Pelodiscus sinensis: one gene and its partner. Each later gene encodes a partner of the first gene's protein in a complex. Links are inferred from orthologs where the notes say so. Each region holds a gene or a part of one and is shown in the gene's direction. Other genes may lie near its edges.

Region 1 (7,972 bases):
ATACTTCCTTCACTTGTGGGAGACCGTATCAAAAGCTTTGCTCAAGTCAAGGTCTATCACATTCACTGACTTCCCCATGTCCACAGAGCCAGTTACCTTGTCAGAGAAGCTAATCAGGTTGGTCAGGCACGACTTGCCCTTGGTGAATCCATGCTGACTGTTCCTGATCACTTTCCCCTCTTCCATGTGCTTCAAAATGGATTCCTTGAGGCTCCCCTCCATGATTTTTCTGGGGACTGAGGTAAGGCTGATGGGTTTATAGTTCCCTGGATTTTCCTTCTTCCCTGGACCCTTTTCTTAAGAGAAGGGGTGTTTGCCTTGGCTTCTTGGCCAAATTCCAAAGCAGGGAATTCCATCCTGACTCCCTGGATTCCCACCTGGATTTTCAAATGAATCAGGTATTTGTTGTGCTGCGTCACTGGTGACTAGAAAGTGGTACGGAGATTTCTGATGCAAGCTTGGCTGCATGTGTCTTCTGGGGAAATGACATCTTGGAACCCAAATCCAACTCCTTCCGCCTGCCCCAGGGCACTTTCACAAGTTAGTCATGCAACAAACAAAGACACGGGGCCAAATTCAGCCCTGAGCAGATGTGACTCACTGATTTCCATGACGTGGCACTCACTTACACCAGGGCTGCACTTGGCCGCTCGGGGGACAGTCCCACAAAGGAGTCCAAGGGCCCTTCCCTGGGAGGGCACAATCCTGCAGTGCCAGGAGCCAGTCACAGGCTTGCCGCCTGCACCCTTTTCCCACTTGTGCACATGGGAACAGTCTGGAACCTCTGTGAATGCTTTTTGTGCGTTAGAAGCTCTAGAATTCAAACAACCGTTTCCTTACGGAGTGCTGAATCTAGCAGCACCTTGATCTCACTAGCACAGGGCGAGACTGTTCCCTGGTTCTGCATAGCTATGCAGGAGAGCAAGGCCTCCCACCTGTGGGGGACCTTCAGGGGACCAGGTTCAGGGACAGAGTAGAGGCAGCATCCAGGAGCAAGTGAGCAGAGTTCTGGAGCCTGGTCAGGCATGAGGGAGCAACAAGCTGCATGCTCAAGTGGTATCACAGTTCAAATCCCTCCTCCCCCGCCCAACTGCAAGAGGGGGAGCAGAAGAGGACTGAAGAGTCCCCGAATCACAGGACCTTGCTGGAGAGCACAGCTCTGTACTGCTGAGGTGAAAGGCTGTCCAGCCCTGGGAACTACAATGAACCTCCTTTCTGCCCCTGCACCTTGTGATCAATCCGAGTCTCACTCATTTGCGTGGCCCATTGCCTTTGGCTGGGGGAGGGCACAACGTCTTTTGTCTAAACCCTTTTGTATCCCCGTGAAGTCTGACTGTGATCCAAACACTGCGCTGCCGCCTCACCTGCTACCTGCAGGATGATGTCTGCCTGCTGATTGAAATGCCCAACTCTGGCCCACAGGGAACAGCGGTAGGCGCCAGAGTCCTCCGGCTGGACCTCAGGAATGACCAAGGATTGCTGCTCATCCATCAGGAACTCCCGCTGGGTCCCTGAATACAGGCGGGTGCTATTCTCATGTCTCCGGATCAGCCCCATTTCATGACTCTCGTTGGCTACCTGCAATGCCCCAACAGAAGCCCTGTGAGCACGTCAACAGCGATCAGCGACAAGCTGTGGACTATGCTGCCACCGATCCCAAACATCTGACTTCTACTTGTGCAAACATTGGCATGAGCAGCCGTGGCATTAATGTGGGTGACCCCGTTTTATGCACACCAATGCCCCGTTTGCATGTATAAATTAGGTACTGAGTCCCCTGCTAGCAAAGCTCAATGTTTCTTTCATGGGAAACAGGTGCAGCCCAATTGGCGACAACCCGCTAAAATGGTCTCAAACCTGGAAGCTGGACATGAAGAGGCAGACTTTCCTGTTGCTGAAGGGAGAGTCCATAGCAGCTGTCTGGAGAAACTACCACTTCCTCCAGGAGTAAGACAGAAAGCAGCACTGTCACACCCCTCTGGGTCTGTGCCTGCCCACCCCACAAGTCATGGCACGTGAAATAAGGTAGGGAGGACAGGACCCCTGGTTTGCTGGCCACGAGAAGCTCATAATGAAATTTGCTGCTGCTCAGAAAGGTTGCGACTTTCCAGGACGGTTAATAAAACAGTTACCTTGTACCAGCCAATGGCCCAGTAGTTGTGCATCCCTCCAGCAGCAGTGGGACATGGTAGGAGTGCAGTTTCCCCACACTGGGCTCTTACAGACCCAGCTGCCACAGCTGTTCTTTGCAGGAGAAGCCACAGGCAACAAAGAGCTAGAAAGGAGAGAATCAGGGTTCTGAGTAGTCTACTGCCGTGCCGTGCCGTCCCGTCCCCCCCCCCACACACACACACACACCGGTATTCTCAAGAGAGACTTATATCCAGGTATCAGAGGGGTAGCAGTGTTAGTCTGAATCTGCAAAAGCAGCGAGGAGTCCTGTGGCGCCTTATAGACTAACTGAAGTGTAGGAGCATAAGCTTTCGTGGGCAAAGACCCACTTCGTCAGATGTCTATAAGGTGCCACAGGACTCCTCGCTGCTTATATCCAGGAAAAGCCACTGATAAATCCGCTTCTGAATTCCTTATAACAGGAGCTGTTTCCACTGGGGCTGGAACCGAGGTCACCTTGGGAGGATTTCTTGTTAGTTCTATGCCTGCCTACTTATATACCTCCTGCACTTACTGGTGCTCAAAGGGTCCAGTACACCTTCTCCAGCTCTGTGAGACACCTTGTCCCTGAGTCCTTTTGCTGAGCTTTCAGAGGAGCTGCAGAAAAGTGACTGCTGTTTCTCTGAGATGCCATGAGTTTATTTGAAAGAAACTTCAGGCAATTAAAGCACAGAGACTGTGACCTGCTCCACATCACACAGGAAGTCTGTGGCTGAGCAAGGAATTGCATCGTGCGTCTTGTTTACATGGAGACTGAGTCTATGCTTTGAGCTAGAAGTGTAAATTCCCCAGTTCATGGAGCCAGCCCTAGGCTAGCTCAAAGTGAGTTAGTGTACTTAAACAAGAGTGTAGCCAGAGCGGAACACACGGTGAGTGGAGCTAGCTACTCAGAATATGCACCGTGTGTCCTGGAGGGATCTCACTCAGGGCCGCCAGCCCTTCCTGCCAGTCACGCAGCTTCAGCAACACTCTATTTTTAGTATGCAAGCTCCATCAGAGCAAGCATAGGTATGTTTCCTTGAGTTGAGAACTATCACTGCAGCTCCAAATGTAGATGCACCTGAGCAAATGGCAGGCCAGGGTGCAAATCTACAGCACAGCCTGTCAGGCACTAACAGGCCACACAGACCTCGCACTAAGCGTTTCATAGTGTAGAGCCCTGAATACATCACAAACGTTAATGTATTCATCTTACAACCTCCCTGGAGCTAGAAAAATATTATCCCCATTTTCCAGTTGGGGATACCGAGCCTAGGTGAGATTAAGCAACTTGCCCGAGGTCTCAAATTGAGTCTGTTGAACAGCCAGGAACAGAACTTAAATCTTCTTAACCACAAAATCATCTTGCGTCTTTCTTTCAGAGACACTTGGGGCAGAGGCTGTGTCTCCCCATGTCTGTAGCGTATTATTGGCACCGACAGGATGCAAAAAGAGTCATAACAGAGGACACTATTAGAGGAGAGGCGAAGACTTCATTTGGTTTTAAGAATAAATTTCACTCCCTTCCAAGTTACAGCTACGCAGACAAGTAATAACATTCTCCTGGAACATAAAAATAAGCAACTGAATTCACGTCCTCACAGGGAATTCTATTTCACATTGTACTGATCAGATGCACTGTCAGTCTCTCCCCTTGCTGGGCCACACAGCCTGTTGGGAGCTCACTCTACACCCTCTTGGCATGGTGCTGCCAAAGACGAGAGAAAGAAAGCGCAGGCAGGTGAATAAACGTCTAATGAGGAGGACTCACCCAAGCACAGGATCTGCATGGTCTGGGCAGCTTGCAGTCGCAGGAGTACCTGTGCCCCCTAAACTTCCTGTCGAGTAAATGGAAACAAGTGGGCTTGGCTATGCAGAAAACGAAAGCGAGCGCTTCATCAAACCCCGCTCCCCAACATGACGCACTAGCTGGGACCCTGACTGCGGCACCGCCTGAGCACAGGGACAGGCCCAAGGTCATCAGACTGCCAGAAGGAACGGACTGGACTGGAGCGTGTCACCCTAGGGCAGTGGGGGGTTGCCGGGCTGGGGGGGCGGCCGTGCCCGGGCCACGTGCCGGGTGGCGGGGCCGCCCACGCGCCATGGTCCAGGAGCCAGCACCGCACACGCCGTGGGCAGGGCCGCCCACACCATTCCACGGGGACACAAACACCCACGGGCGCCACGCTGGGGACCACGGCCCAGGGCCCTGCCAGGGCAGCCTCCCTCCTCCCACGCTGGGGCAGCCATTGCCCCCCCCCGCGGCTCTGCCCCTTGGGGCCTGAGACAAGACGCAGGCGCGGAGCGGGGGGGGAAGGGCCGGGCCGGGCCCCCCCAGGCAGGGCCCCCCCCACGGCGGCTGAGGCCGGGCCGGGGCCCCCAGGCAGGGCCCCCCCCACGGCGGCTGAGGCCGGGCCGGGCCCCCCCAGGCAGGGCCCCCCCCACGGCGGCTGAGGCCGGGCCGGGCCCCCCCAGGCAGGGCCCCCCCCACGGCGGCTGAGGCCGGGCCGGGCCCCCCCCGGCAGGGCCCCCCCCACGGCGGCTGAGGCCGGGCCGGGCCCCCCCCAGGCCGGGCCCCCCCCACGGCGGCTGAGGCCGGGCCGGGCCCTCGTGCAGGGTCTGGGGCCACGGGGCGGCCCGGGGCTCAGGCAGCCGCAGGGGCACGTGGGAGCGCGCGGCCCCCGGGGGCGGGCCAGCGGGGTGTGGCTCGGGCGGGGGGGGGGGGGGGGGCACGTCGCGGCGGCAGCGCGCGGCTCCGGCCCGGCGCGTGCCCGTGGGGAGGAGCCCGCCCCGCCCCTCGCAGAACAAGATGGCGGCCGGTTGCCATAGCAGCCGTCGCGCTTCCTCCTGGAGCGGCGTCGCAGGCGTGATGACGTCAGGCCCGTTCGGCTGCTTCCGGGTGCGGCGGGCCGGGGGCGCTGCGGGATCCGCGATGGGGGCGGCCCGGGACCCGGAGCAGCAGGCGCCGGGGGAAGGGGGCCTCGAGGAGGGGGATGGGCAGCCGGTGAGCGCGGGCGGAGGGGCCGCCTGGCGAGCCCCGGGGGGTGGCGGGGGGGGGTTGCCTGGCGAGCCCCCAGGGGGTGGCGGGGGGGGTTGCCTGGCGAGCCCCCCCCCGGGGGGAGGCGGGGGGGGTTGCCTGGCGAGCCCCCCGGGGGAGGCGGGGGGGGTTGCCTGGCGAGCCCCCCGGGGGAGGCGGGGGGGGTTGCCTGGCGAGCCCCCCGGGGGAGGCGGGGGGGGTTGCCTGGCGAGCCCCCCGGGGGAGGCGGGGGGGGTTGCCTGGCGAGCCCTGCGAGCTCACCCTGCCTCTCCTCCCGCAGAGCCCCTGGAACATCATGATCAAGCACCGGCAGGTGCAGCGGCGCGGGCGACGCTCCCAGATGGCCACGAGGTAACAGCTGCCCTGGCCGCGCTCCCAGCAGCACAAGTCTCCTCTGACACCCGCTGTGTGATCCCAGCGGGCAAGGCTCCTGCCAGGGCCATGCCGGGGCCAGAGAAAGGCTCCGTGTGAAGTCTGGTCCTGCCTCTGCCACCCGCTCCCTGGGCCAGCCACAATGTGGGGCGCTCGATCTGTATAGTGGGGCTCGCTACCCACGGAACTGATATTCTTTGGGGCTGGAAATGCTCCCTAGCTGCTAAGGGGTTGAGGCCACACTGTGAGATATCCGGCGTTCTAGGGGCCGTGGCAGGTTGTTTGATCCTGGTGAAGTGGGGGATTCATCAGAATGCTCATACTGGGCCAAGCCAAAGATCTGTCTGCCCAAGTGTCCTGGCTTTCAGCTTGTGGCCAGTGCCAGATGTATCCGAGGCAGTGAACAGAACAGGCCAATGTATCGAGTGATCCATCCCTGTCATCCAGGCCCAGCTTCTGGCAGTTACGAGGGTTAGGATCATCTCGGCTAATAGCCAGAGATCGGCCTGTGCTCTGGGAACCGATCTCGTTCTTTGTTGAACCCAGTTGTGTGTTTACATCACTTGCGTGCAAACCACACTCCTCTCGGGCTGACACTTGGAGCCAGAGGCACTTTGTGTTCTCCTCTGCTGGGAGACTTAGAGTTGGAATCAGTGGGTAATTCCGCTGCTGGCTTTGGAGTGGAAATCAGCTTGCAGCCTGTGTTGTGTCCTTTGCAGACGCCTGTAAACTCTGGCGGACACTCACGTGGGTGAGAGCATTCGGGAGAGCACTGCCGCGTGGGGCTTTGGGGACTGTCTGGGTGGTGTGCTAGGTGTGGCAGGAAAGCCAGGTGGAGTCATTTCTCTCTCATTCAGCTTTACAGACCCTGCTGTCTCCATGGATTTGCTGCGAGCTGTTCTGCAGCCTAGTATTAATGAGGAGATCCAGACTGTCTTCAATAAATACATGAAGGTAAAGCTCACAGGAAGAGGGAAATTTCTTGGACGGACATCATCCTTCCCCTGCCTCTAGCCTGTGCTGGAAGGTGCTGCCACTGTGAAAGCCCTGCCCCATAGGCCAAGTCACATACACAACCCAACCCTGTGAACTGAATAAGAGGGGCAGGTGAAGGCTGCTCTGCCTAACCCTGAAAGGGTCCCACTCCAGGACTCCTGGTCTGAAATCCACAGAACTGTAAAAGTGAGTTCTGCTGGAGGGCACTGAGGGACCAGAGAGCATGGAGTCTTCTCCCAAAGGATATGGAGCTTCCGAATGGGACTACGTCCCGTGTTCTCAGTGCTGACCCTGATGGTATTAGGTTGTGGCATGAGCAGAGGTGGACCCTGGAATTGCCAGACCCTGCTTTTGTCTGTGCAGAGAACAGCCTTGTCCCAAGGAGGCAGCCTTCTGTGGAAAGAGCTGAGAGCAGCCAGCGTCATGCTAACTCTCTCCTTGGGCCCCTTCCCAGTTTTTCCAGAAGGCAGCAGGTAACGTGAGAGAGAACGTCGGGGAGGACGTGGATCCAGAGCAGCTCATCCAGGAAACGTGTCGGAGCTGCCTAGAACAGGTAGGCATGTGCCAGCGCCACACACCTGCTGCCACCGCCCTCTGGGACCAGCCTTGCAAGGAAATACCTGCTGCATGGTCTCCTGGGGGTGCAGAGCATTACAGGCTGGCTTCCCAGGACCTCACAGTGCAAAGAGTCCCTGGAAACAGGCTTTTGGATTCAGGTCAGTGATACGCGGGCTGCCACTCCCTAACATGCCCCAGCGGCTCGGGGCAGCCGTGGTATTAAAATGCGTGTGGTTTCGTTGTTAGTCGGGATGTTTCTACAGTGTCAGTAACCGACTGGCATTGGTCGGTCACTTTGCTGTGTGACTTGTGCAGTGAGTTCACGCTGCTGCAGCTCTCGGGTAATTTGGCTCCTGAAGCATGGACATCTGAGAGCTGCCGGCCTGGGGAGAGGTGGTTGTATGGCTCAGTCAGCAGCGGGTCTGACGGGAGGCACTACGTGCTCCTCTCCCACTGAGCTGATGTGGGCTGCAAGTGTGGCACGGCTGAGGGGCCGGGGCATAGAGCCAGCACAGAGCTGCTTGTCTCCTACTCCTTTGCTATGCAAAGCCAAGCAACAAGGAATTCCAGGGGTGGTTCTAGGCCGCAGCAGCGGTGGGAGATGCAGTCACAGCTGTAACCCATACAGCCATACACCTTCAGTGCCTGGCCGGAGGGTGGCACCTTCCCTCTCACGTCCCACCCTTGGTGCTGTTCTCCAGGCCTGGCACCAGTTTCAGACTATTGCAATGAGCCCTGTGTGGGATGTCTGTTAGAGCTGGCCGGAGGCTGGCACTGGTGCAGAATGCAGCCACTTGCTTCCTGAGCGGGGCACGTCTCCGGGAGCATGTGACCCATGCTGCCCCGTCGGTCTCTATG
Region 2 (8,467 bases), on another chromosome or scaffold:
CATATGTGAATATATATAAAAACATTTCTTCTTATTCACTGGAAATATATATATGATCAGGGCTTGACAATCTATGTAATCTACTCGCCTGTGGCGAGTAGATTACAACCTGGAAGAGCCGGGTTCGGCTCTTCTTCGACAGCACGGCTGGTGAGCAGGGCTTGCGCGGCTCGCCAAGCCCTGTGTATGATGATAATAATGATGTATCTGCTTGACTAGCCACAGCCAGTGCTGCCTTCAGAATACTGACCAAGTGCTTATGGAATGACCACAGTGATAAATTGTTACTTTTGTATGAAGTTTATCAGGCAGTTGTCCTGAATAGCCTGCTGTATCACTCAGAGTCATTGACCATATATCACTGTCACATTTTGAATCTCGATCAATTTCATATGTGCTGCCAGGGACGGATATAGGGCAGGGCGAACGGGGCGGCTGCCCCGGGCCCCGCGCTTCAGAAAGCCCCGCGCATGCGCCGTGGCACCGCTGCGCATGCGCATAGCGTCACTGCGCATGCGCCGTGGCAAAGGGGGGGCTCCACGGAATTATGCTGCCCAGGGCCCTGCAAAACGGTCATCTGCCCCTGTGTGCTACCTCAGGAAGATTGGTGGGACAAAATTCCTAACAAAGAGGTCCTCAGGCTGTGTGATGTCATGGGCATGGAAGCAATGTTTATGAACAAAACAGTTTCATGGTGATGTCATGAGAACAGATGATATATGGATGCTGAAGATGGTCTTCTATGACCAGCTTGTTCATAGAAAGCACTCTGTTATTGGTGGTTATTATAAGCATTATAAAGATATTTTAAAGGCCAATGTGAAGTCAAGTGCTGTATCTCCCGATGACCTGGAAATCATAGCTCAGGATAGACTATTCTGGCAGTAAACTATTGAACAGGCTCTCAAACACTTCAAGAGTCAATGTATCCAGACATTACAGGAAAAGTGCAGGATCTGAAGAGTTCACAACATCTACAGAGGGCAGATTTTGATGTGACCTCTATAATCAGATTTGCCAAACAAGCATTGGCTTAGTCGCTCACCAACGGTGTCATAGAATATGAGCTCCATCGGTTGAAGGTTCAGTACACACACCCACACGCAGAAAATGCCCATTAAAATGTCTTTTGAACTCAAACATTTTTTTGTAAGTATGCAAATCAAATATGACAGCATTTTGCTAAAAAATGAGAATCAACCGCTAGAAGGTAACTGATTGACTTTGTTCCAATCCAAATGAAGTACAGAAAGAAAACTAACAACGTAATGATTGATGTCAAACAAGACATTTAAAATCTCTTGAATTTTAATCAGTGCTTTTTTTGTAAGGGAAAAGGTGTAGGTACTCTGGGGCAAACTTGTTGAGCAAAAAAACCAGCCTCATGTCGGGGGCTGAAATGTGGTCACGGCCCCTTTAAGAGCCATAGTGCTGCATTGGGAGCCGGGGGAAAAAAATGCCGCGCGTCCCAAGAAGGCTTCCGTCAGGAGCCGAGCTGCCCCAGGAAACAGGTGCCAGTATGTTCAGGGAAAATCCCATTCTTTTTCTGTGGGCTGGGAAAATAGGTGACAGTACGCCATTGTGGGCACTACCAGCACAAAAAAAGCACTGGTTTTAATAATCTCACTGGTTATTAGGCATGTGAAGGGGTAACTGGTTACCCAATAAGCATTACCCTTCCTCAGTGATGCTATCAGGTAACAATTAACTGGTTCCCTGGGAGCAGCCCTACCTATAGTCCCGTGCCAGAACGATTCTCCCTCCTGGGATCCTTCTTAGTCACTTAACCAGTTAAACATTAGGTTAACCTACCATTTAATGGGTTACCTGGTTCATTGGAATTTTACATCTCTAGCACTGGTTACATCAGAAAAAAAGGAACATTTTAAATATAGATAGAGACAAATTCAGGTCCGGTTTGGAGCCGAACTAGAAATAAATTTGGCCTCTAATTTCTAACTTGACAGGAAAAACATTTAAATGATATATATTTTTAAATTAGATATTCTCTGTCCTGAATATCTCTCTCTATATAAACATAAAATGTAATTATTGAGATCTGTCTTACACACATAGTTTTGTATGTAGTATATTAGAGGCAGGGTTCATATGGTTCAAAAAACCTGGACTTTTTTTGAGTTGCAAGTTTATGGGCATGTTTTCTGGTGGAGCCAATACTAAAGCAGGTTAATAACATCTCTGGCCACTTTCCCTTTGTTCAGATGAACAGGCTTTAAACACCAAATCAAACAAAAACATTAAAAAAAAAACCATGAACAGGACATGCCATATTTCCAAAGCTCTCTTCCCAGCTTCCAGAGTAAGCTGTCATCTGCTTTCTCCTGAAATCTGTCTAGCCACTTTTTAAGGCTTTCAGCTTGATTACCTGAGCTAGAGATAGGAAGCCTGGGGCCTCTCCATGCATTCTCAAGTTCAGGGGAGTCACTCTCATCCTAACCTACTTGACAGAGTTGTACCATGTCTGAACATGATTGCCAGCAATTGTGGTTAGCTGACACAGTAACGAAACCGGATCTGAATCAGGACAACCCTTCACCTTGTGTAGTCATTTATATCAGTTCAAAATGGATTTTATATAAAAATGCCACATAATCTTGCCAACCTCATCATGGCAATCCCAGATCTATTCTGCTAATAGTACTTTGAAATCTACGTTTATTTAATTGCAATGGATAGCAGCAAATGTCACAATTACATAATCAAAAGGATATTTGATTATTTTCCTGTTCTAAACTTGCAGCTTTATTGACATGGAATGTTTCCATAACCATGGAAATGGTAGACTATAATAGGCCCTGTTATAGTAAGTGCAGTAACTTGATGTGTTTGTTCAAATGCTGATACATTTAACATTGTTCTTTATTTGACTGGTCATGATTAGCATTTGAATTTTAACTGAAATAAATTAAATTAACTTAATACTGTATTAAGGTAAATGGTGGAAGTTCACATCTCTCCTGGTGATGTTTCAGCCTGAATGTTTTAAGCTGAAAACCAAAGTACATTAGAGAAATTTACAGTATGAAGGGCTAGCTGTTGAAAATATAAAACCAAAGCTGTGATCACTTGTCAAACATGTAATATTGAATACCAATTTAATGCCAGTTTTAGCTCACTGATTAGTATGCACACAGCTTTCTACTGAAATGCAACCTCTATGGGATAGAATACACCAGCTATTTCTTCAAATGAAACTGCAAAAAGAGTTTTAGTAGATAGAATTGTAACACCCCAATGAAAATTACATTAGCACACAAAGGTTAATAACTCTGATCATGAATAAAAACATTAGGCTTGGCTTCCCACACCCTTACACCCCATGTAGCTATGTAACCCTATGTCACTTTGTAGAAAGAGGTATCATTTTTATGTGATAGCATTTTATTTATCCTTTGCACTACTGTTCATAACTACACAAGGCACTGGGGTAGTCCTGTTTCAGGCTCAGTTTCATTACCATGTCAGTTAACCACACTTGTTGGCAATCATGGTTAGGCATGGTACAACTCTCCTCATCTCCTGCAACACTTTACTCTGTAACACCATGAGACATTGGAATCACATGCCCACAACAGAGGAGTCTTCCTCTCTATAGCCTTGCCTGGACTAGTGATCTGCTTCCTTTTTAGCCAAGAGTGTAGTTGCAAACCCCTACCATACGCAGAGTAAAATGTCCTACCAAGAGCAAACCCCTACCATATGCAGAGTAAAAAGTCCAAAAACCATTATTAGAATCAGTGCACCTGCTTAAAATTGGGGTAAATTCATCACATTTTTCTTTTTTTTTCTGGTTTGTGATGTGCTATAGCTTTAGAAAGATGTTCAATTCACAACTAAATGAGCCACCTTTGGGAAGGGAGGGAGGAGTGAGGAAACAGTCACAGCACCGTCTCACCTGCTTTTTCTCCACTTTTCTCACACTTTCTCCAAACTGTGCTGTTACACTTTCTGCCTCCCGTCTCATAAACCTCCTCCCTCGCCTTACATTTCCCTCTATAGCCCCCTCATATTTCCATCCCCACCCCTAACCAACCCCTTCCTTCTTTGGGCTTCTTCCTTTTTGCATGGTTCCTACCTCCCCCCCACCCCCCCACAACTAGTCTGTCTCCATACTCCTCCCTCACAGGTCCCACTCCCCAAACACTTACTCTCACTCCTCCACCTGCACCTTCCCATATGTCTCTCCCAAGCTCCCCTTCACAATTCTCCCCCTCTCTTCATCACACCTCCCCCTCCCACAACACCTCCTCCTCTCAACACCCTCATGTCTCTCCTCCCACTCACGCATCCGCCATCTGTCCCCTCATAGCCTCCCACCTTTGCATGTATCCTGCCCTCCTCTCACCGCCCCCTCCCCATCGTCTCCCCCTCCATTACCCCCCACTCCACTTCTCCCTTCCCTCCCTCTCCTGCCTTCTCTCCCCTCCCCCCTGGCCCCTATGTCCCTCCTCCAAGCTCTTCCCCTTCCCACCCTCCTCTCCACTTGCCTCTCTCCTCACACCTCCTCACCCCTCCCCCGACCCGTATGCCCCTCCCCTCCACTTGCCTCTCCCCTCACACCTCCTTGCCCCTCCCCCGACCCGCATGCCCCTCCCCTCCACTTGCCTCTCCCCTCACACCTCCTTGCCCCTCCCCGTCCTGCATGCCCCTCCCCTCCACTTGCCTCTCCCCTCACACCTCCTCGCCCCTCCCCGTCCTGCATGCCCTTCCCCTCCACGTGCCCCTCCCCTCACACCTCCTCACCCCTCACCTGCACGTGCCCCTCCCCTCACACCTGCTCGCCCCTCCCCCGTCCCGCATGCCCTTCCCCTCCACGTGCCCCTCCCCTCACACCTCCTCACCCCTCACCTCCACGTGCCCCTCCCCTCACACCTGCTCGCCCCTCCCCCGTCCCGCATGCCCTTCCCCTCCACGTGCCCCTCCCCTCACACCTCCTCTCCCGGGTTCTCACCCCTCCCCGCCCCAGAACGCCTCGTTTCTGCCTCTCACAAAATGGCGCCGCCGCTCGGCCCCGTTTCCCGCCCAGCCCGGCGTCACGTGACCGCGGGGCGGGGCGGGGCGGCGCCGCGTGCCGGGAGCGGGCGAGAAGGGCGCGAGGCGACGGGTAAAGTTGCTGGTTCCCGTGCGCGGCTCGCTCCCCTCAGGCGGCGGCTGCGATTCGCAGCGACCCCCCCCTCCCAGGGCAGCCCCCCCTCCCCAGGGCAGCCCGGGACAGCCCCCCCTTCCCCAGGGCAGCCCCCCCCTCCCCAGGGCAGCCCCCCCCGCCCGGGACAGCCCCCCCTCCCAGGGCAGCCCCCCCCGCCCGGGACAGCCCCCCCCTCCCCAGGGCAGCCCGGGACAGCCCCCCCTTCCCCAGGGCAGCCCCCCCCTCCCCAGGGCAGCCCGGGACAGCCCCCCCTTCCCCAGGGCAGCCCCCCCGCCCGGGACAGCCCCCCCCTCCCAGGGCAGCCCGGGACACCCCCCCCCTCCCCAGGGCAGCCCCCCCCGCCTGGGACAGCCCCCCCTTCCCCAGGGCAGCCCCCCCGCCCGGGACAGCCCCCCCCTCCCAGGGCAGCCCGGGACACCCCTCCCCCTCCCCAGGGCAGCCCCCCCCGCCTGGGACAGCCCCCCCTTCCCCAGGACAGCCCCCCCCTCCCAGGGCAGCCCCCCCCTCCCCAGGGCAGCCCGGGACAGCCCCCCCTTCCCCAGGGCAGCCCCCCCCGCCCAGGGCAGCCCCCCCCGCCCGGGACAGCCCCCCCCTCCCCAGGGCAGCCCGGGACAGCCCCCCCGCCCGGGACAGCCCCCCCCTCCCAGGGCAGCCCGGGACACCCCCCCCCCTCCCCAGGGCAGCCCCCCCTTCCCCAGGACAGCCCCCCCCTCCCAGGGCAGCCCCCCCTCCCCAGGGCAGCCCGGGACAGCCCCCCCTTCCCCAGGGCAGCCCCCCCGCCCGGGACAGCCCCCCCCTCCCAGGGCAGCCCGGGACAGCCCCCCCCTCCCCAGGGCAGCCCCCCCCGCCTGGGACAGCCCCCCCTTCCCCAGGACAGCCCCCCCCTCCCAGGGCAGCCCCCCCCCCTCCCCAGGGTAGCCCGGGACAGCCCCCCCCGCCCGGGACAGCCTCCCCCTCCCAGGGCAGCCCCCCCTTCCCCAGGGCAGCCCCCCCACCCCAGGACAGCCCCCCCTTCCCCAGGGCAGCCCCCCCCCCGCCCGGGACAGCCCCCCCTCCCCAGGGCAGCCCGGGACAGCCCCCCCGCCCGGGACAGCCCCCCCTTCCCTAGGACAGCCCCCCCCCCAGGGCAGCCCCCCCCCGCCCGGGACAGCCCCCCCCCTCCCCAGGGCAGCCCGGGACAGCCCCCCCTTCCCCAGGGCAGCCCCCCCTTCCCCAGGGCAGCCCCCCCCGCCTGGGACAGCCCCCCCCTCCCCAGGGCAGCCCCCCCTTCCCGGGACAGCCCCCCCTCCCCAGGGCAGCCCCCCCCCCCGCCCGGGACAGCCCCCCCCCTCCCCAGGGCAGCCCCCCCCCGCCCGGGACAGCCCCCCCTTCCCCAGGGCAGCCCCCCCCCTGGGACAGCCCTCCCTTCCCCAGGGCAGCCCCCCCGCCCGGGACAGACCCCCTTCCCCAGGGCAGCCCCTCGCCCCGGGGCAGTGCCCCCCTTTCCCTGGGCAACAACCCCCGCCTTCCTGGGCAGCGTCCCACTTCTCAGGGCAGTGCCCCCCTATCCTGGGCAGGGACACCCCCTCGCCAGGTGTAGGGACCCCCCCACCCTAGGGATGGGACCCCCGGCCCAGTTAAGGACTCCCATTCATCCTCCCCTGCCAGCCACCTCCAGGATTCTTCATTACAGACAGGGACCTCCCACCCTACCCACTAGGGCAGGGACCCCCCCTCTCTGTGGGAACAAGTACTCCCCCACCCATCCCCGCCAATGGCAGGAAGTCTCCCGTCCATTATGGACAGGAAGCCCTCCACACTCATCACCTCCAGGGCCCGGGACCCTCACATCACTCAGGGACCTCTCTGCCCCCTCACCCTCAGCACAGTTGGGAATTCCCCTGCCCATATGTTTGGGGCGGAGATCACTCCCATGATAGGCAGGGACCCCCTCCCATCTCCCTAGGTGGAGGGACACCCTATTCCCATCACAGTTGGGATCACCATCCCCATCATGGGTAGGGATGTCCCACACATTCTTAGGGGCATCCCTCATAGGGAGGGAGTTATTCCCTCCAGGGGCCAGGATACCCCTCCATCATAGTCCAGTATCCATCCTACAAGGGTCAGGAGCAGCATCCCCCTTCCCAATTTGAGCAGCAGCCTTATCCCCACCAGGGGAAGGAACCCACAGAGTCCTACCACCAGAGCCAGGAGCAACTCCCCAGGGGTAATATCAGTCCCTTTGCATCCCTCCGGACAGGTAGTCTCTACCCAAACAGGAACTCTCCCCTCCCTTTGCTACCATGGACAGCAGTCTTCCCCATCCTCACAGTGCCAGGAGCATTGTCCCAACCCATTTGGGCCTAGAGCTAGAAAACAATCCCCCCTCCTTGCCAGAGGCTGGCTGACTCCTCCCTCCTTTTCATCTCTCACAGGGCCAGGGGTCAGAGTGGATAAAAAGTGATTTAAACATTTTTTTATTCTTTTGAAATTGAAATCAGATGTATTTACTTAAATGCATTTTTCTTTTTAAAAAATAAACCCATTGAAAATTAAAATTGAAATGTTCAACCTATATTAAGACATACACATTTACTAAATTAAAATCATTTAAACTAAATACAAATAATTCAAGAAGCACGTTTGCTATTGAAGTTTAAAGTAAAACAATCAGACTGGTGGAAGTTGCCAACTAAGCACCTAAAACCAGAATTTGCTGATATGCTAAACCAGATATTGACAGCAATAACCTCTTCAGGTGCAAAGAATACTGTCTTCAGCTGAGTTTATTCAACTAGTTTAGTTCATTGGCCAGTTAATATTAAGTTCTTTCACCTCAATTCAGCCTAGGAAAGGTGCCACCACCCTTCTTATTCTTCAGAAAAGAATGAGGAGGTCATACTTTAGGGTAATCTCAGGATCTTTCTTTGTTACAGCATAAATTCAGTGACCTAAGATTCTCTGTCCCTAATATCCTATGCTCCCATTATCATGCTGCGTTGACTGTCTAGTTACAACCCACTAACATCTCCCCTGGTTATAATATAAGGCTCTTTCTCCTTACTCATAAGCAATTCAGACCCCCACAACAAAAATTCCAAATGCTTTGCCATTATAATGTATTTATTAGTCTTCAGCCCTTAAAGACAACATGTTAAAAAGAATTTAACATTCCCCCACACATTATAAATGATGTTCTGGATATTAAGGATATTTTATTTCCTTAATACCCCATTTTTAAAAGGATGAATTAAAAAAATATTGTGAGAACTGAAATTCTCTCAATTCTTTTGACCCAACAGATCACAATCCTAACAT

What was found. Proteins that work in one complex are often made in the same cells at the same time.
Region 2: DNTTIP1 (region 1) and ZNF541 share a complex: the UniProt entries of both Homo sapiens proteins name them as parts of the histone deacetylase complex. The link is inferred for Pelodiscus sinensis from reciprocal best matches to the Homo sapiens genes DNTTIP1 and ZNF541.

What each region holds. Positions count from the first base shown.
Region 1 is NC_134728.1:12,358-20,329, reverse strand, and holds the start of DNTTIP1 (deoxynucleotidyltransferase terminal-interacting protein 1), read left to right. Parts: upstream 1-4,945; 5' UTR 4,946-4,960; coding exon 4,961-5,155; intron 5,156-5,468; coding exon 5,469-5,539; intron 5,540-6,417; coding exon 6,418-6,514; intron 6,515-7,010; coding exon 7,011-7,109; intron 7,110-7,972. Other genes in the region: uncharacterized protein LOC102461217, read right to left, coding at 1,365-1,578, 2,133-2,275, 3,923-3,941. UniProt on the Homo sapiens protein: Increases DNTT terminal deoxynucleotidyltransferase activity (in vitro). Also acts as a transcriptional regulator, binding to the consensus sequence 5'-GNTGCATG-3' following an AT-tract.
Region 2 is NW_027465999.1:198,863-207,329, forward strand, and holds the start of ZNF541 (zinc finger protein 541), read left to right. Parts: upstream 1-5,039; 5' UTR 5,040-5,125; intron 5,126-8,451; 5' UTR 8,452-8,467. UniProt on the Homo sapiens protein: Transcription regulator which is essential for male fertility and for the completion of meiotic prophase in spermatocytes.